Styela clava: one gene and its partners. The protein of the gene in region 3 interacts with the protein of the main gene of each other region in a pairwise test. Links are inferred from orthologs where the notes say so. Each region holds a gene or a part of one and is shown on either strand. Other genes may lie near its edges. The genes, in order: small ubiquitin-related modifier 2-A-like, rho GTPase-activating protein 26-like and fidgetin-like protein 1.

Region 1 (6,148 bases), on a different chromosome or scaffold from region 3:
GCCAACCCATTGATTATGTTAAAATTATCAAGTAAACAATATTGCACCACCTTATTTGTTTCTAAACCTCAGTGCAATGTTTTCACCACATATCTGTCCGAAGTTAATGATAAATGAAAGAAAGTAACCAAAAATATAAAACTTCAATATCATCAATTGATTGACATAATGCCATAGCATAACGCAAAAATGGAAAGTATATCTTGAAGACAAAATAACATTATCTGACTATCCGTAAACCAGTAACTCAACTGTAAAACGGAATCCAATGAACACAAATTATAATTAAATTTACATTACGCATTTTGTGTGTGTAACACCTTAGTTTGCACTGGACTACAGATTATTAGACCAGCGCACTGATGATTAGGAACAATGTAGATCTATATTTACCTACGTTTCCAGAGTGATTCTGTATCCTTATTTCTCAATCCGTGTGAGATATATTATCTCTAAAATAAACAAAAATCCCTACTCGATACAACTAGAGGCACGCATTCCAAGCCTGGCACCCAAGCACAGCCATCTGGCACGCGAGCGTGTTCTTGGAAACGTGGTCCTCCCTTAGATAAGATTTGAATACTTATCCTGGGGGTGAGAAAAGCCGATAAGACAGCTTAAACATAATATAGCGAACCATGGCCCCTCCAGTTACCATTCCATGTCGGGTATGGGACTAGTTAGTTATTGGACCTTACAATTGGACACGTCAGTGTACATAACGATCGTTTCAATATTATGCTGTTGTTCTTGTTAGTTTTCTCTTTCGTCATGATGAAATCGCTGTTCTCTACGAATACTATACCAATTGCTTCTAAATTTTCAGCGGTTAAAGATTGTTTTTTTTTGTCAAAAGGCTATTGTTTTTACTTATTTCAAAAATTTTGTGGACTTCAAGAGATTCGTTTTTTCATGTCAGAATAAAATAGCGACACCTTGTGACGTATCCATATATTTGAGCACAGCTCTCTTGTATGTTTTCGGAAGCATGGACTTGATGGTGGAGAAAGCCGTATACCCGACTAGCGGTTACGTGAATCATTCTACGGCGACGTGGAGTCCAGCAATGCTCTTGCACATTACCTATTAACTGAATATTCCGTTAACTATGATATTACTATCCCCGCATGATATTCGGACCTGCGAACATACGTTTTCAGAGGTGCGGTAGCGGGCGTATTCCTAACGCTTAGCACGATGAGCCACACCACCGCGCCATCTTTAGATAAATGTCGTATTATCTGATGAAACTTAATGTTTTTGTTTTATCTTCGTTTGTTAACAATCCGTTCTTTACTTAAACTAGGGTTGCCATATGCTATATTTTTCCCTGACATGTCCGGGATTTCAGTAGTCAAATTTGCGCCAGGGAGAAATGTTAAATGTCAGGGATTTTCGAATACAGGGAATCTCTGCCACAAATCGTCGAGTTTTTCATATATCGCGGATACACGGAATCCTATTTCCTAAGATCGTGAATTGTCAGCATTTTGTAATCGATATTTTGGTTGGACTACCTTTACCTGTACTTTATCCCGTTCTAGGGCTTAGTAGTGCTAAGGATTAAGCAACAAGTTGGCTCTTTTCGTTTTGCTGTGTATGTATTCTTTTCTCACGACGTTTTTCACGTTACAAAGAAATATATTGTAGGAAGTTGTAGATCGCGTGCTAGTTTGGCTTGCTTATTTATTATCTACATCCGCATATGGAAGTGAATTACTGTTCTCAGTGATGAACTTTTTTTAAGTATCGTAAAAGAAGTACCTGACTGATGAAGGTATTAGTTTGTGTATTTCGTTGAAGGTTACAAAATATGGGGCTCCCGAAGTATGCGAACCAAGATGGTGGACATCGGAATGTAATATTTGTACTAGGTTAGGGTTAGGCCATAATTTTAGGTATAAATACTACGAGAGGCTCTTGGCTAGTCTTCGAACTGATAATAGGACTAACATAAGGAAAATTGGAAAAAAATTATCGCCTAACCCTAACCTGTTACCCATGTTACGTTCCGATGTCCGCCATCTTGGTTCGCATACTTCGGGAGCACCCAAAATATAAACCTGATATAAAATTTATGTCAACGATAATACAGTAGCAGAAGTCTCACTGAAATAGCAAAAGAAAATTGATAAAAATATTTTTGTCGGACTAATATTTTCTTGAAATGTAATTTAATACCTGTTTAAAAGGTTTATTATCCTGCAGGTTTTGCTTTGAAAGTAGCAAAGCATTGTTTTTAAAAAGAATAAATTCATATTTGATTTAATACATTTTCACAAATTCATTGCCGAGCGGAGGAATTTTGCCATTTTATTTAGTCAATTTTGGCACGCAAATCAAAAAAGGTTACCCAATGCCCACCAGTGGTGAGCTGTGGCCGGAACGACATTCCGGTTGTATAAGTTCCCCCGACCTTTCACCCCGTGAAAATTCATTCTATACCTTCCTAATGAGGTTTGTATTGAATTGCTATGAATACTTCAATAATTTCACACAAACATATTTCATATATATAATTTATTTGCAGTTCTGTAAACGTCCGCGTCGTGTTCGGAATATATTACATTTTTGTGAATTAGGTGCGTTCCGGTTGTTACGATTTTTCCAGCTCATCACTGATGCCCACCCTTTATATGTTTATGGATGTGTATATTTTATGATTAGTGATCAATAATGCTGTAACTGTACTGTGTCAACTGTGCTTTAAATATCAATAAAAAAATTATCAAATAAAATAAGACACAAATAAAAAATACTCATGAAACATCATTATTTATTGTCGAGGTCCTTAAATCCCGAGGGGGCATCTGACTCTGATGCCCAAGTTGAATCGCTTCATTCTCGGAACATTTCGATCTATTCACCAAACTCGGTGTGCCATAGCGATGCCTATGCGCAATCACCGTGTTCATATATTCGAGCATTGCTTAATTGTTTTACTATGTATACAGTAATAATATCATTATTACAAAATTTACCGAACAAATGAATCACATGGACATCTAGTTATTTGGTTTGATAAATTTAACGATTGAATGTAGAACACGTGGGACGAGTCGGACACGTAAGACAAGTGGAACACGACATTTTGAAGACACCGCATAAATCGTGTGTTTTTGCTTTGACAAATTAAATGAACTTTCTTTCCCACTCTCTCTCTCTACATCTACAATAACGCGTTCATAATTTAGTTGTATTGTCTGCTAGGCTTACCCCTACTTCCACCTTTATCAGTGACGTCTGCCGGCATAAGATAAATTTACAAACAAGTCGTAAAATGCAATTCAAGAAAACAACATTCGGAGTTAAAAGCCTTTCTCTAAGATAACAGCAAACAAACTGTTAGCAAAATATCACTCCACATGTGATAGTATAACCACAATCTATGCCATCATATGTTCGTGTCGCTGGTTCGAATAATTTCTCATTTTTATTTTTAATATTTATTTAGTATATAATACTGTAAATCTTCTAATTATATATCCCGTGTATATGCATTTATCAGCAACTGCCACTGTTAATAATGCACGTATAGTTTGCTTTTGTCTTATAATAAAATGAGAATTTACATATTCGGTCACACTTCATTCGGCAATAATTGTTTTTCCGCCATATTCTGGAATCCTGTTCAAAACTGTGCAAATTTTTATCATCATTATGAACGTCATTATCATTGCACTGATAGATATGATGAATTGAACAAGTTTATATGCTCCTGTATATGTGATCGAGAATCTCCATTTCCCGTTCTTTGACATGGCTTATGTACACTCTCCTCTCTGTTAAAATTAGAGGAAGTTACTTTATTTCGTTGTTATCTTAATATTGGAACCCAGTATTTATAAAGTGAAACTATTGGGCATTTGTGCAAGTTTAATATGGTATACTCTTCCAAAAACCACTGGATGGGATAATTGGGTCTAAGCACAAAAAGCACTCAATTTTACTTTGTTTTGCTCGTTTGCATTTTGCTGAAGTGAACTCGTGGGTTGTTTCGACTCGCACAGTCCGCTGAAATTCTCATTGTTTTGCATTTTACTGAACGTGAAGTCGACCAATGCATCGTTTCGAGTTCGACCCGCACTGTTTGCTGAAATTTTCATTGTTTTGTATTTAAAAGTTATTGCCTAATTTTATATCGTGTATGTTTCCGGGACCCCTGCAATTTTTTCTCCTTTTGTGGTTCTGTTGTATTGATTGATTGATTGATAGTCGTCAAACCAGCATTTGCCGGTAACCTAAGAAAAGGCTAACGAGAACAACAACATACCAACAAAACTATCCATTGGTACACTTCAAGTCAAGTTTTTGTAATCAATATTCTGCCCCGGAAGATGGCGCACTAATTCCGCGCCGTCGTCCACGCTTTGTGATGGTTGTTGTTGCGCTGCGGCTCAATTCAGCTTGACTTTACTGTTAACGAAATACAGAAGTTGTGTGAATTGTTCAGGCTTGTGATGGCTGATGCAAAACCTAAGGATGTTAAGCCTGACGGCGATCAACATATAAACCTAAAGGTGTCAGGACAAGATGGCTCGGTAATTCAATTCAAGATTAAACGTCGCACGCCAATGAAAAAACTGATTACTGCATATTGTGATCGGCAAGGAGTTCAAATAGAAGCCATGCGGTTTCGTTTTGACGGGACGGCTATTTCGCTCGAGGACACCCCAGAAAAGCTTGAAATGGAGGACGATGATACAATAGATGTTTTCACTCAGCAAACTGGTGGAAACCTGTAAATATTTTCCAAGCAGCTTGTCTGGAATGTTTATACTGAGAGTATGATGATTATCTTACCTTTCTGCCTTTATAGACCATCAAATGATGGTGGTTCCCACCGAGACTGAGATTTAATGGTAATTTACTGACAAACTGCTCAAAAATGCCATGGACAAATGGAATACTCTCTTGTCCAGTTGTCTGTTTTGTGATCTATCAAATGGCTATTTCGGTATTCAGATGAGACTATGATATATTAGAATATGATACCGCATACGCATAATATTTCGATATGTTGGCTAATTATTGTATTCTATTGTCAGATACAGTAGATATGACATTACAACCAAATACCCAGGTACTAGTAATGTTGAATATGAGTTAAACATAATATAACATATTATTTGGCTGACACTGAATAAGGCTTTGAAAAATAATCATTATGAACAACTGGAAAGCAGAGTAATGTAAAGTTGTTATAATTCTATGTTTACATTAATTGCTGAATTGTTCTGTTCAATCATATTTTTACAAAAATGAAAATAGTATTCCCATTTATTTTGATATTTGTTTCCAATTTAGACCTTTTTAAAATTGCTGAATTGTGGTATCAAGTTTTTCTTTCTAGGCTATGTTAGTATGTTTCTTTTAAGTAGTCCTGTTACAATATCATAGAAATATGGTGTTTTGGTTGAGTTTTTATTATCAAGTGACACACATTATTATAAGCAAATAAACCTTGAAATCCTGAAATCAGTCGATTCAACAACTGCTATTATTTGGTAATGAAATATTCCTTGTGCTGAAGAATAAAACTGCATTGATTCGAAGATGTTTCATTTTGTCATTTATTCTATTTCCATTTTCTGTTCATTGTTTATAAAATAATGTCTGTCTGTCATATTTTAGTAAATTTAGATTAAAATCACTATATATAGCATGATATAACTGCTAAATGCTTTGTATATCACATAGAATAATTAGTCTTTTTTGTAACAAGTCATGCCATTTCACATTTATTTGCAATACTTTCTCTATTTCATCTCAATATTCTCGTAAGAAAAAAATTATCACTGGCAAGCCATATAGAACGGAAGAAGAATTGGTAAGATATAGCCGATTCCTTAGGTAGTGATTGGCTGTTCCTTATATTTGATTCATAGAATGCCAGTGTGTCAAATCAAAAGTTTTTTCCAAGTTGTTTCTATCTGAATGATACAGTTTAATAAACCCTTTTTTGGTTGACTTAGAGAATGACTGAAGTGATTTTAGCTTTTTACGAATTTAAATAAATTAGTTTAATGTGGTATATTACTATCCGCATTGTGACCAAAGTTTTAGATGGCACTTATGCCATGAATAACATCACTGCATTAAGTTTGAATGGTTTGCTTGCTACCAGTTAAAATGCACATTGAGTAAA
Region 2 (7,332 bases), on a different chromosome or scaffold from region 3:
AAATGCAACCTGTATAATATGTTCAATTCAGATACATCAAACTTCCAGAAAACTTTCATACAAAGCATACACTATACTTGTATTTTCTAATAAAACAAATAAAAATTCAAGAGCCTCCCATGTTTCACACAAGCATTATGTAATATTCAAGTCAAAAAGAATTTATATTACATGATTATTTTCTTCATGTATGAAATAGCAAAGATACACACACTGCATTATCACCCCCCTATAATGTATTAGCCAAAAATCTGTATTTCAATAGGAAAACAAGCAAGATATTATAGATTGTAAAACATACCTGAATATCATTCATATATTCCTTGCAATCGAAGGCAGTTTCGTGAGTTTGATGAAAAAAATTGAAGTAAACCTGAAAGTTGAAATCAGAATAAACTTGTCTGGAAAACTACTGTATATAAATAGAATCAATTCTTAGGTTACCGAATTAAATATCAGCTTGAATAGACAAATTCAGAAAAAAACTTAAAATAAAATCAAAATATGTCAGTGAAGACTACTTCTGATAATGGGCAAAGGGCACTTACCTGCATGAACATGAGTAAATGTTCAACAAATTCAAATTTTTTTCGTTCCTGAACTTCTTGCAATTTATAAACATAGTTGAGAGAGGAAGAGTGGAAATTTTTCTTTTGAATTCCAAGTTCATTGTCAGATTCCTACAATAAAAATTTAAACTTCAGTCCGATATATACAAATAAAAGTGAGTTTTTTAGATTGACTCACATCAAAAATATACTTTACATACAATGATAACACAGTGTGATTCAATATTGTCAAGTCAATACAAAGCTTTTCAATAGTTATTCGAGATGAATATGAAATTTGTTGAGTTGAATCATAAAAACAACATCCTAATTTATTATTTTTGTCAAGCTTTGTATTCTCTATGAGATAATTGGTGTTGTTCAACAACTTCCTGGCAATATTAAAACTGCAATCCTATCAAATTTGTGTACATTTCCATTGCACTTGCACATAATATTTTATCACTGGTTGAACTTTGAACTGCTTTATTATATCAGCTGCTGTTTAAATAAAATTGTTATATTTTCGACAAATATTTGAATATAATGAGAACCCCAACACAAAATCTAACATGACAGAATCAATTTAATTTAAATTGAAAATTTGTTTTAGAGCTTTTAATTTTTATTATAAGACTATAAAATTTTCATATCTAATTTTAAAAATGACTCACTGATAATAAATTTTCCTTTTTCTTGTGAGACAATCCCAATGTCTGTTCCATTTGTTTATAGTATCTTTCACTAGCTTTGTCAAAACCTTTTTTGGCGTCTCTATATCCATGGATATGTTCCTTTCGAAACCTGGGACAGGAATAAACAATTGTAACTTTCCCAAATAAGAAAAAAGGAAGTGATCTCACTAAACAGATTCGAAGTGGGTAAACGTTTCTCCTAAAATTATGAATAGAATCATTAGAATGACAGTGAATAGCTCAAATACATACAATTTCGTAAATTGAGACAAATTTTCTGATATGGAAAATGAATCCTCGCATGAATTTGAAAAGCTGTCCATAATGACTTATTTACATAGTGCAGAGCCTTATTCGAAGAAAATCAAATCACATGAAAGTAAAATACAAAGAAAATTGCTCACTTTTCAAGTGGTTGTATTAACTGTAATTCAGATCTTTCAATTGTTCTCGTCCATTCCTCCTCTATTTCCTCAAGCATCATTCCAAACTCTTTCAAAGAGCCAGCTGAAATGGAAAGTGAAAATTAGCTCAACTATAGGCCAAAAGTACATTAAAACTTATTCACCCAGTATAGACTTATGATCGTTCTTTGCAATTTGCAACACTCACCCATCCAACTATCATAATTATGATCCGAACTCAAACTGAAGCAAATTTTAAACTAAAGCGAAATCATCCCACATGCAGAAGAGTGCTTGATAAATTTTGGTGAAAATAATCGCTACATAAAGTATCATTAAAGTGATAGAACTTAAATAATAAACTCTGTGAATCATACTAGAGACAATATTAGTAGTATGATAATAGTTTATTCAAATATTTGATCAACCAGCGAATATAATGTGCAAAGAAATTCACACCTTAAGAATATAGTTATAGTCAATTGTATTAGTTTGTTTGAATTATAATCAACACACCAATTCCACGTTCCGTATCTGTCAAGTTTTCTCCAATGATTTCAAACTGAAATTTTTTCAGTCTTTCACTGAATGCCTGCATTGTTTCTCCTTGTTTACGTGAGGCCTGCAACATGGCCTTCGCATCCTGGAAAAGATTAATTTTAGCTTATTTAAATTTTAATTACCGGTAGTTAATAACTTGTAGTCGCATAAACTGGGGGAAGAATATTTGCTATATAATATTAGAAGTGCCAATATGTAGTGTACTAGGCTTGGGCATTGTGTACTGAACTGCAAGTCCTTTCTCCTTGTTTACTTTCTACTGCGGATCGGTATGTGTCAGTTGCCACAAGGATGCTCGAACAAGATAGTATATAAAGATAAATATGAATAACATAATTTCTTCCCACGAAATAGCAAGTTTATTTATGAGCTTTCGTTAGATCATGGTCTAACGAAGACTCATAAATAAACATACTGTTCCATGAAAAGAGATTAGGTTATTCATATGAAATATTAATTGACAAAATGTAAAATGACTCTGTTTTTATAAACAAATTTTTTGCACTATAGTATGTGCATTAATATACATATAAGTATCAACAGTGGAGTTATAGAAAAGGAGAGCTATCAAAAGAATTAAAATTCACCTTGATTAAAGACTTTATTTGTGAATTTGTCCTTTCCAATTCATCTTCGTATTCTTTTATGCTTTGACGAAACCAAGGAGAATCAAGAAAACATTCAGAAAATTCCAATGGATGAAGAACCATCTTGTTTTCCAAGATTTCAAAATCAGTTTTGCATTTATAAGTCTATTATTTTTAATCTGCAGAACTGTATATTCAATAATTGTTATGTTAGAAAGCTCAAAGACACAAACTCCAGGCCTATTACCGGCTCCCACATGAGATATCCAGACAATATATTTTGAATAAAATTCGGTATTGATTCGGTAATTTCACAGTATAATTATCTGAAATTGTTGCTTTGAATGCAGACTATCAAAGTTACTGCTTTCTTAATAAGAACATTTTGCCTGTATGTGCAGTATTTATTAAATAAAAAAAACAGAATAGACAGCATAGAGAAATTGCAAACAACAGGAGTTATTTAGATACAGATGACTAATTTCAATGTGCAAATTTGCTAAACAAAACCACAGCCCTTTGTGTACTTCCTTCCTATCTAACTTTATTCAATATATTTGAGCCCTAATAATGCAATATGATATACCACAAGAATTTCAGTGCTGGTGATCACCTATTAAAACGGTAAACAAAGTAAATACCGAAAAACAATGTCCTATGTTTGCAAACATTTACCTAATTGCTTACTTTTTATCAAATAAAAATATATCCTTCAAAATGTTCTCGAAAAATAGTCATAAAGAGTAATGAATCCAAACAATAGGACTACTCCCTTTTTTTCATATATTTATGTTGCACATGCATCAAAAACAATAATGGACAGAGATTAATAAAGTAGATGTAGACATTTCTAATTGATAATACTCAATCACTGCAAATTAAAGTTGTAAACATGACAGATTTGACAATGTGCATAATTAATATTTCTAAAATTAGTTTTTATTGGGAATTTATTGCTTATCTCCCGAATGAAATGTGAACATATTAATTGGTGATAACTATCTGTAACTTATATTTTGTTTGATATTTTCGAAATAGAAAAAGTAGATTAATTCAGACGAGAAAAATGTTCAACAACTTAGGAATACGCAGCATAACACAGGCCCACCGTATTTTGCTTGAACTTAATAATTCATTAAAATCACATTAACCTTGAAGTATGTCCTATTTAACTCTCTCTATTGCTGTAAGTATTTTTTTGAAAAATTATACATACAATTTGGCCACTATTATGTAATAAAAGTATGGAAAGCATCGAGGCTAAATTTATGGTTATCAACTTATCATGACTAAAGCATGAATTGACAAACAGCTCAACATAATTAATACTAGAAACAAGTCAAACATTCTCCAACAGCTGCAAAAGTGCCAATATCTTTACACCAATAATTTAACAACTCAAAAACAAGGAAACCATGCATGTCAGGATGATGCAGAAACAGACATTGTGTTTATCCTCAAGGGAGATAAAAAATTTTGAAACATTCAACACAGTTGTTAATAACAAGGAACATCCTGATGACTTACCGTAGTTGAACATTCAGGGATTTCAAAAGAACTCCAACTTTAATTATCGATAGTACATCCATATACGGTAAGTCATATTTTTAAAAACCTGCAAACTACCTCTAATTACACCTCATATAAAATCCTGTACAAATGGGCATATTTTTTAAGTTGTACGTATTCTCAATAAAAATTGGATGCTTGATTTGACTAACAACACAGCAAAAGATTTTTTGCAATTAAATCAGCCTAAATGCAATGCGGGGGAAATGTGACTCACAGTTTGATATCAGCGTAGCCCACATCTTGTTTTTTTAACATGAAACATTCATTTCATGATAACAAATTAAGCAACAGAATAACTATCCATAGCATAGCAAAACACTTGTGAATATCATACCGATAATTACCGGTGTTTTCTTCAACTTGTCATGAACCAATATAATATTTTTCATTGAAGCATATACTTGATTGTTGATTGTTTAAATAAGTCATTAGATTGAATATACATGAATACAAGTAGGGGAAGACTTGGCTAGAAAAATGACATCATAAAATCATGATATTGATCATAACTACTGAAGCCAATAAAAAATTTCTGATTACTTGGTCTATTCGGAAGTAACAAATAAAAAATTAGGTTCTCGTTTTGCCTATGTAATATGACGAAATCACTGCACACCAAAAAAAATTGGGCAAAAAAAATGGAATCTTCAGAAATTTATTTCCCACTCAATTTTAAGAAAGAAGGTTAAGGAAGTTTCATCATATTGCTATGACAATAAAACTTGGTTACTTGAAGAGACATTCAATAGTTATATTGGCGCAATAAGTTTCAGACTTTTCTCAAATTTATTACAGTAATTTATTTAAAATTGAATCAAATGACCTCCACTATGCAAAAAATAGCAGGTCAAAAGCAATGAAACATAGCAGTACAGACAGCCGTGCATCTGATGCCTCTAGAAGTGACAAGTTTGCATTTTAGCAACTAATTAACATTTCATGTATTAATTAACACCATTCCTCTTTGTCAAAAATAATATATAACACTAGACACTAGGCGCGATTCCAAAGCAATTGATCACAAACAATAAACTTTACCAAACTAAAATTGGTCTTTTCAAATTTGAAATTCATGTAATTATGCATGATATATTTATTGAAGCAAGAATTCAAAATTCAATTATGTTTATCAACCAAATTCATATAAACATGTGAGGACTCAACAATTAACTAATATTGTTCTGTAGCAAGTCAGATTAAGTACAACAAATTCAAATTGAAGCCATAATAGTCAGGCAAAATTTGTCATATTATTAAACATATATTTTAAAATTTTCCATTCCTAAAGCATGAATCATAATTTAAGATGAGCTTTCAAAATATTTGTCCAATTAGAGAATGTTATTTTTACAGTATTGTGTATGAGAGTAATCCAAAGAGCATGAACTAAACCAGGACGGTCCAAATCCAGGGCCATTATCATCCCAGGCCTTATTATCTGTGGCCTGTGTGCTAGTAGAGGTAACAATTAGTGATATAGCGTAACCAAAAAATCGCACTTGGTATTGTTTTGTGATAAAAATAACCAAAAAAGATCTTCTGAAATAGTGTTACATCACTAACATTTATATTGTTACCTAGCTCAAGTCGGTTCTTAAATTTTGACAGCCTTAAATGACTTCAAACTTCCACAAATTGATTCTATTATTTCCTTTGGGATATCCGCTGAAAATATCTCAACAAGCTTCGTAGACAACTAAAAATCAAATGAGATTCTATTATCCCAGGTTGGCTATGCCTACTAATACCCTCCCTGGCCCTCCCTTTTATATATAACCAGCTTAAATCATTAAGACAAAAATTGCTACATGTATGTCAGGGAATTTAATAAATATCGCCACGATACCTCCTGTGCCTCGTAAAAAATAATATAATCTAAAACATAGATAATATTGGGAGCAATGAGCAGTTTCCAAAGTTAAAGAATTTAGCCTTTAGAATGTTATCGACAAAGCACTTTCTCCATAATGAAGAGACTGAAATATAATGCACGGAACAGGTTTGAAGATGAAACAATGAATATCTGGACACAAATTAGTATTATTAAATCGTTTGCATTACTACCTGTACTGTCTTCCTCATGAAAAAACTCCTCACTTCGCTGATAATCTGATCGCTGAAATCCGACCGGGGACCGCCAAACAGTGCACAATTTTTTGTTTTAATGGAGTCGTCAGGATAGAAAAATTAAAAGGAAATCATAAAAATCCAGACAATAACATAGAGAGAGGTTATATAAATAACATAAAAAGATTTTGTTAATAAGATTTGAAATCTTTATAACAATGTCCAAAAATGGCAAAATAACAAACTTAAAAAGACAATAATAGATGCAGGCAGATTCAAGGTTGCTGACATACATATATAACCAAAAGAGAAAATATAACCTTAATAGTCATATAGGATTCTATTTTTAAAAACTTAGATTTGTTTGATAACCTTATATTGAATCTAAAGTAAAGACTGAATCAAAACTTCAAATATGGTGCAATTTTGCCAACAGTCGAAGTTCATACACCAATTTAAATATTGTGATATTGGGGCTCAAAACAGCAGTTCTCCCCTCCAATAGGATCAGAAATGACACTATAGTTTAAACCAATATGTCAGTATCTGTGCTGAATTCGAAAATTCAAATCAATACAAATTGACAAACCACTACCTAAACTGTGAACTCACTAGTTTGATGCTGCAGGATATTTTAACAAAAACTATCAAACATTAGAAAGTTTAATATTTTTGCGTTTAGTTCAGATTAAAAATAAACAAGCATAATTATAACAGCAGCAAGTTAAACCTGATTCGACTCCCAGTCACAACACAGCTCAATGATGAACATGAACCATACATGTACAGTTTACTAACTGCATCTTCCATCAACCATCCAGACTTAGCCTAGCCTAATACAATATTGTGTTTCATATTGTACGTCACTATCTTCCTGTTCCTGATGTGAATGGCTACC
Region 3 (7,868 bases):
CCACTGTACTGGGGGTCCATGATCCATAATCTCATTTGTTACGAGTTCTATTATCTTGGGATCCAGACCTTTCAATCTTGGATCAATCTCATCTATGTCCATCTCATTGTTGCCAGTTTTTTGTCCACATTTCCGAAGAAGAGACTGAGAAATTAGAAACGAAAAAATTTAATAAAAAGGATCATTAACCCCACTTTTGAAGTTTCTATTTATAAAATCACTTTTATAGATTTAAAAATATATAAGAAAAGAACTATAACGCCATAATAAACAACGGCAAGAGAAGAGAATACAGCTATAGCTTCAAATTTTATGCTTGATGGGGAAAAGACTCGAGTGTTGACAAGGGACACACTAATAGACTTGGCGGGACGGGTCGTGGCTGTTGCGGCTAACACAAATATCAAACTTCACAGACTCACCTATCTCGTTTGTATTACAAATCCTATTCATTATACTCTCTACAAATAAACACAACTTACACAATCTCTTTCATTCTGTTCTCTCTGATCTTTTGAGCTCGGTGGAACAAACTTCCCAAAACAATTATTACGAGGTCGAGCACCAAGTGATTTCTTCCCTGCAGGAATGTTGTTGTTTGAGGTACCTGCAAGAGAAATAATCATCTGTTTTTTTAGGCTCTCTAAACCAGGCTTTAGGCAAGGTGCCCGAAGAGTTACTATCGCTATACACTGTGTTTTCCTACATTATCTATGAATAAGCATAATGAGATCTGTGCAATTTTTTGCTGTTGCCATGGAAACGAAACTTCACTCCGGACTTTCAATGAAACACACATTACTAGGGTGGAAGGATGACCCACGTCAGAAATATTAACAGATTGGTTTAGCCGTTTAGACGCTACAGCTTCGACACATACACAGACAGAAAAAAACGACAGAGACTAAGGGTCTCCTATAGCGGAAATTCAATAGTTCTATCAAAACATTCCCATCTATAATCATCTACCTTGTGGAGATGTATGTTTTCCTTTCTTCTTATCAATCTCATATTGCTCTTTCGCTGATTTGAAATGAAATTTACGCTCGGGTTCGACTCCAGAGAATAAACCTACCATTTTATAATGATAAAAAAGGTTAAAAAATTAGTTTGGATAACATTGAGATATCTGGCAAGGCTGCTATTTTGTAGATCCCAGGTTCAGGTTAGAGACACAAAACCGCAGGAATGACTAAATTTTCATTTTTGAATTAAAAACTTGAAAAAGTATATACAATTATTTCTAATAATATTGGCTTATAAACATCAGAGCAACAAGTCAATTGACCTTTGATTGATTGCAAGTAGCTACAGCAAAAATAATTACCTTCGTTGTCTCCAACTTCAATATTGTCGTCCGGAACAACACATTTCCTTTTACTTTTTCTCAAAGTTTCTTCAAAAAACCCTCGTTTATTTTCATTTTCTGTAATTTTTCCATCTTTCGGGACTTTTTGATAAATATTAAAAGATTTTAGCCTTTCTTTTGAATTCGAGGTCAAATTTGGACCATTTTTACCCGATTTCGACCCAACTGGGACTATAACATGTTCATTTTTCCTAATTTCATTGTTTTCAGGCTCTGATAGGAGCCTACACTGCTCAAAGGCAGTTTTGACATTTTTTAATTCAAGTAGTTTTGAAGTCGTAAGTCCTGATTGGAATTTCTCAAAGTTTTTCTTATAATCTGGGACTAAAGTTTTCACTGTCTCTTGAAATGATTTAGTGCTGTCTTCACCTGGAATAATAAAGAAAATATGTAGAAATTTTAGGTTATACATTAGAGGAGAAGAAATATGGTCAGATGACAAACATTATTGTGTTCACCAAATTACAATAAGATAACTTGGACTATGTCAAATCAAAAATTTCCAATTTTAGGAATAATCAAGAATATTTCTATTTCAAATTTATACATACAAGGTGTCCATAAAGTCCTTTTACAATTTCAATTTTGTTATGAAGCCAGATCTCAATATATCTTAACCAGGTTCGTTGTTTTTAATTAGTAATTGTTTAAGTATTTTTACTTCATATAATACATCTGTGAGGGCCAAGACAAATATGGTATCGATAAAATCCCCTCATAATTTTGAAAATTGTAAGACTTCATGTAGACCCTATATTATTTTATATCTCCCTAAACGCACACCACTCACCATCTACAATAGTTGAATATTCATTTAATTCCTTCCGAAACAGATCTGAGAATAAATCTAATTCTAATTCCTCAGAATCAAGTTCAAAACACAGTTGGTTTATATTGTCCCTTCGTAATTCAGCTGCCTCCCACGGTGTGATATTTTCTTCATTTAATTTGATTTCCCGTGATCTCCAGGCGGAGTAGTTTGGATTATCAGCTTTTGCCATTGTCAATTTAATACAGTGGTTCTCAAACTTTTTACGCCCTTTTTAGAATTGGTCAAGTTTTGTGCCCCACCTCAAAAATAACTAGCTAACAAATAGTAAGGTGAAAATATGTTTTATTCAAAAAACATGTTGAAAATACGTGGATAGCATCGCAATCTCTAAACCAGGGTTGTTCAACCTTTTTTGCCGAAGGGCCACATTTAGTTTACGAATGATTGCGCGGGCCACTTGACATGGCAGTTATGTTCTAGTTTTCACTATACTGACTACAAGTTGAAAACACAAATGCGTTTTCTGGGCTTCACAGAAAAAAAGACACGAAAACAAATTGAAATACATTGTAGACGATAAAAATAAATTCAGACATCTCTATCCAGCAACAAGGCCCACATAGGGACATAAAAAGGCTTTCGATAGCTGGGTGGTGCTTTTCGCGCGTTTGAACGACGATAAACAATTTTTTTTATTAAAGGTTTCAATATTGGCTCAGATTCGTAAAAGACATTGGGATTTGAATAATACCACGCGGGCCACTTGGAAATCTTCCGCCACAGGTTGGACGACCCTGCTTTAATAAACAATAAAGAAATGTAAATATCCAAATTAAGGCTGGCAAGATCAAATTTAATAATTTTTTTTTATTAGCTTCACACCCTCAAAAAATTGTCTACCCCCCACTCGCAGGGCCTGTTCGACTGTTTAAAAATCACTGATCTAATAAGATTCCAACATTTCCAATAGTTGACAACAAAGTCCCGAGCCTGTGTGTTAAATTCTTCAACAATTTGTTCGACAGTCTCCACCAAAATTTTATTTTCTATGTTAAATTAAATCTCTAGCTAATAAGCTCCTAAGCCCTATGACTGTAATAGCTTAAAAAGAAATATATACAGTTAAATAATGAGAAGAAATACATGAAATCACAAATTTACAGCAATTTTTAGTCAACATAATTTAATCACTCATAAATAAAGAACAGTGCCAAGGGTGGAAATGTGCCCAGGGAAAAAGCAACAAATACATTTGAAATTGATTATATTTGACAAAAAAAATTATTGCTTTTAAAAGCAAATTACATTTCAATGGCTTCTAACAAAGGACTGAGAACCTGGAGCTTTTGATATTTCACTGGAACTGGAATCACGGCTAGAGAAGGTTTCTTCAAACACAATGAAAGACACCTGACGAAGTAGGTTTTTAGGCATTCCTAAAATACTCAATGGAAATGATTTTAAATAGCAACTTACGAGATTCTACTGTATGTATTACATTTCAATGGCTTCTAGTACCGAGTACCATGGAGCTAGGGCCTGGAGCAGTGAAACAAAAATGGATTCTATCAATTTCTTAATGAAAAACCAAATGATGAAATAGCAATCTTAATGCATTGAATGTTTTAAGCATTCCAAGGTGAACAGATACACATTGAAAAGAACAAAGATAACTAACTGCACAAACAGAGAAAAACGAATAAATGTGGACATACACTCAAATCCTCAGGGAAATGGATGAATGGTAATAATAGCTATGAAATTAATAACTGTAATTAATTTGAATATTAACTTTTTCGGCTTTAGTTACCCCTGTCAGTCAAATGCAGAGAATTCAGCTGAATTACCAAGCGTGCAGTAAATAATCCATATTCTATATCAAGATTTTTCAAACTCTGCGTCCCGACCCCACCCGTGGGTTGCAAAATGGGGGTCGCGGTAAAATCTTTTTCTACAATTCTCATGTTAATGCAAAATATTGATCAAATTTGAAAACAGTACTGAGACCAGAATACTATCAAGATTCCATCTTTTGTGCGAGAATATGCATGCACATCGGTCTCATTAAAGATATTATCAGTTTTTTGAAAAAAATATTTTCTGAATTATTAAATTTTACTTCATTTTTAGTATAGTTCCTTGATGGTAATGAAAAAAATTGGCAGAAAGTGAGCTGTGATGAAAAAAATAATCCTATACTATAGCGTGGGCTGCGTGGCACATACAATAAAGCAAAACGAAAGTAACAATTTCTTCATCAGTATTGAATTCACCAGAACTTGAAATACTCTTGAATGCACAAGTTATTATCAAAAATAATTTTTCTTCTTCATTAAAATAACCATACTATTGAAAAACAGTAATATGAATATTCTATGAAGTTATGAACAACACAAAATTTTTCAAAATGAGACGAGATTGGTATAACATATGGGATTTCAAAAGCGTTGGCTTATAGATAATGCTAGAATATATCCCATCTAGTAAAAGGCGATGGAGCATTGATTTGCAGAAATAAATAGACATGCAGTAACCAATGAAGCATGAACTGGCAGAATCAACAAGAATATATCATCACACGTGAAAATCAATGAAGCATAAATTGGCAGAAATAACTTAGCACAGGAGAATCAAAGAAACGTGGACTGGCAAAGTCAACTCATAAACTAACATGTAGGAAATCAGTGTATTAAAGTATGAATACCCAAAATCTTGAAAAATGAAGTTGGACTGGCAGCATACACGCTTCATTGCTTCCCGAGTAGAAATCAATGAAGTGTAAACCGACAGAATCAACATTAAGAATTCAATGTAATAGAGTACGAAATGGCGGCACTATATAAAACTTATCTTGACTTGTGAAAAGGAAGTTGAACTGGCAGCAAACACGCTTCATTGCTTCCTGGGTAAAAATCAATGAAGTGTTCACCGACAGAATCAACTGGCAAATCACTACTGTGCCACAAACCTATTTTAAATTATTGAAAAATTCGGTTTCATCTGTGTAACTATAGTTAATTTTGACTGTAGTGAATGAACGATAATACTGTTTTTTGTTACTGCAGGGGAATTTACATTCTGAATATTATAGTGAAAGTGTCTATATTTGCAGTAATAGTTTTCGCTTGTCTTGTAGTTTTCCCCTTGCATGAAAAAGAATGGGCCACAGAAGAAAAAAGGTTAAGAACCACGGATCTAGCGGCATTGATGCTTCATTGCTTCCTGAGTTAAAGACTAATTTGGAAGGCACCAAAGAGTTTCCAGTTTATTGACTAAAAAGTTAATTATTTAAACACAGTTAGCTCCTCGCTTTTGCTAATTTATGTTGTTTTGATTGTAGATGAGTGCTTAGACTGCCTGCGTGCTCAATAACAATGTTGCATGTTTGGCAGTAATATTGTCCACTAGGTGTCATACTATTTGCAAAATCACCAGGCAGAGATGGTTTAAAATTTATGCTCGAATTCGCGATTTGTGAATCAGGCTGTGTGAACGCCAAGTGAGCTGCTGGGTTATAGCTATAAGCTGGTTCGATGGGCTTTTCTTGAATTCCTAAAACTCCGCCGCTGACAAAATGAGTCGGTTTAAAAGGTTTTCTATAAGGTCGATTCCCTCGTTGAACGATCCTAATTCTCTTAGCGTGAGCTTTTCCTGCGTAATGCTGTTTTGCCGTTGGTAAAGATGACATTTCGACTGAGCATAAGCGGCAGAATCTGACAGTGTTTTGTGTGCGATCACCTGTGTCTTTCTCCCACACGAGGCACTCTGGAGTATTTATAGGTGTGGGGAGGTTTTCGGTAATTTTATTTATCTTTCTCTCGATCTTTTTTGTGTCCTCCCCACTCAAAAAATTGTTGACGTTCTTTGCATGAATTTCACTTTTGTAATGGTCATCGGCTTGTGATGGTTGATAGAGTTTAACATTACATACCTTACAAGTTTTAGGGTAGATAGTTCCCTCTTCACTTCCTGTAACCTTTGACCCCTCATTCGTTCCGTTAACGTCAAATCCAAATCCTGGTTCTTGAGCCGCTCCTTCAGATTCTGAGGTTTTCTTTTTCTTCCGTCGAAAATACGGACCACGTCTGAACCAATCGTTTTTTCGTTTCTTGCTGGAAGATTTCTGAAGCCCAGATACCTGGGGTTGGTCCATTAGAGCAGGTATTGGTGTCGGCTCTATGTTTTTCTTTGCCGGAGATGGTATAACCGACGCGGGTTTGGGTCTCAACGACTCTTCTTTCATGGTTTCAACATAACTTGTCTCCCACTGTTGTTTGGCTGTAATTTTTGACTTTAATGGCACTACAGGAGTCGTTACTGCATTCTCCGCAGACTTTTTATCGCCAGTATTATTGTTATTTTCTTCATTCTGAGTTGATGTTGAGGCTGTCGTTTCATTATCCTTTGTAATTGTTGGTTTTGATTTCGTTTGGGGGCACAAAAATCGTTCTTGCGCTTTCATAATTTGTCTATTAACTAAATCAGCCCCATATGATGACACTCTGTTTGTTATTCCTCCTCTGCCTCTTGCAGGTCCTGGCTGTCTCGGAGCTGGAGGAAATCTTCTTCTTTGAGGAGGGTGCATTGACACAGGTTCTTCATGATAACGGTCCCATCCTCCACCGTATGGATTTTCAAGTCCCATTGCATATTCTTCTGCTAGTACTGCTTCGTATTCATGAAGATACGCAGCCGCTTCTAAATCATTCATCAGGGAGGCCGCGCCATGATCTCCTCTATAACCACTGTACCCACCTCCATAGCCATTCATCGCGCGGGGTGGCGGCATTCTTCGTCTCCTGGGAGGTGGAGGACCATAAGCCATATAATCATATTCAAATCCCCTATACATATTCCTTTTGGATTAATCACTAACACTAAAAGACTGAAAGAAGCTCGGAACTCACAAACAACGCCGCGCCGACCTCGCGCTGCTCCCGGAACCGCTGCAAATATGTAAATTCAGTGTTGCCAGATTTAGGGAAAGTCTCTTCTATTACGACTAGTGAGAGAGAGGGAGTTTTAGTTCCAAAAACAATGTTAAAAGAAAAGACAATGTTACAGATTTTTATTGAAACACAGTGCGGTGAAATATTTAAACATAAAATTGTGTAAGTCAGTATCAGAGACTGATCAGACCGCCGTCGGGTGCGGACGTGAAATATCGACGGTGGAATAGCTACTGGAGTAAGAAATATTTGGACGAAAACTTGGAAAGCCGGACGAATATAAACCCTACTGAGAAGATCCATACAAACTTAAATCAAAACGATGCTGTTGGATATAGTACCGAAACGATAAGGATCAGTTCACATCAGATCATGCTGCCTGCGTGGAGTTTATCATGGAGAACGAAGCTGGGAATAACACGAACAGTCAAACGTCAAATGTAACGGATATTTAATGATGAATTCCACAAAAAAGACTAGCCTACTTACACAAACCACATGAATTTTGATTAAAACTAAAGTTGGAACGCCAGGGCGTGGAATGCTCTTGTCATATTTTACTTGGTTTGTTGTTGTTTACTTTTATGCTGTTTTTATTATTGTTGTTTATCGTCCGGTAGACTATTAGTTGAGTGCATTTGTAATCAAGTAAATTTTATCTCATATTGCGCACCGCTTGTTTGTTTGTTGTGTTCTACAATTCTCGCTAGTCCCTTGTACAGATATAGTAGAAATTACACTCCATGTTGAAACTCCACATTCACAGTCAAGTATTTAC

Evidence for each region.
Region 1: the proteins of fidgetin-like protein 1 (region 3) and small ubiquitin-related modifier 2-A-like interact in a two-hybrid assay, tested with the Caenorhabditis elegans proteins (3 studies listed by BioGRID). The link is inferred for Styela clava from reciprocal best matches to the Caenorhabditis elegans genes figl-1 and smo-1.
Region 2: the proteins of fidgetin-like protein 1 (region 3) and rho GTPase-activating protein 26-like interact in a two-hybrid assay, tested with the Caenorhabditis elegans proteins (2 studies listed by BioGRID). The link is inferred for Styela clava from reciprocal best matches to the Caenorhabditis elegans genes figl-1 and T04C9.1.

What each region holds. Positions count from the first base shown.
Region 1 is NC_135251.1:15,394,477-15,400,624, reverse strand, and holds small ubiquitin-related modifier 2-A-like, read left to right. Parts: upstream 1-4,321; 5' UTR 4,322-4,460; coding exon 4,461-4,745; 3' UTR 4,746-5,638; downstream 5,639-6,148. Other genes in the region: mitochondrial ribosome-associated GTPase 2-like, read left to right, coding at 5,681-5,830. UniProt on the Caenorhabditis elegans protein: Ubiquitin-like protein which can be covalently attached to target lysines as a monomer. Does not seem to be involved in protein degradation and may function as an antagonist of ubiquitin in the degradation process.
Region 2 is NC_135260.1:17,983,288-17,990,619, reverse strand, and holds the start of rho GTPase-activating protein 26-like, read right to left. Parts: upstream 3,001-7,332; 5' UTR 2,919-3,000; coding exon 2,796-2,918; intron 2,291-2,795; coding exon 2,164-2,290; intron 1,751-2,163; coding exon 1,648-1,750; intron 1,353-1,647; coding exon 1,223-1,352; intron 681-1,222; coding exon 549-680; intron 374-548; coding exon 302-373; intron 1-301.
Region 3 is NC_135262.1:2,057,932-2,065,799, forward strand, and holds the start of fidgetin-like protein 1, read right to left. Parts: upstream 3,112-7,868; 5' UTR 2,371-3,111; coding exon 2,160-2,370; intron 1,739-2,159; coding exon 1,328-1,738; intron 1,072-1,327; coding exon 970-1,071; intron 608-969; coding exon 483-607; intron 145-482; coding exon 1-144. UniProt on the Caenorhabditis elegans protein: Has a role in spindle assembly which acts in the progression through mitosis during embryogenesis. Required for fertility.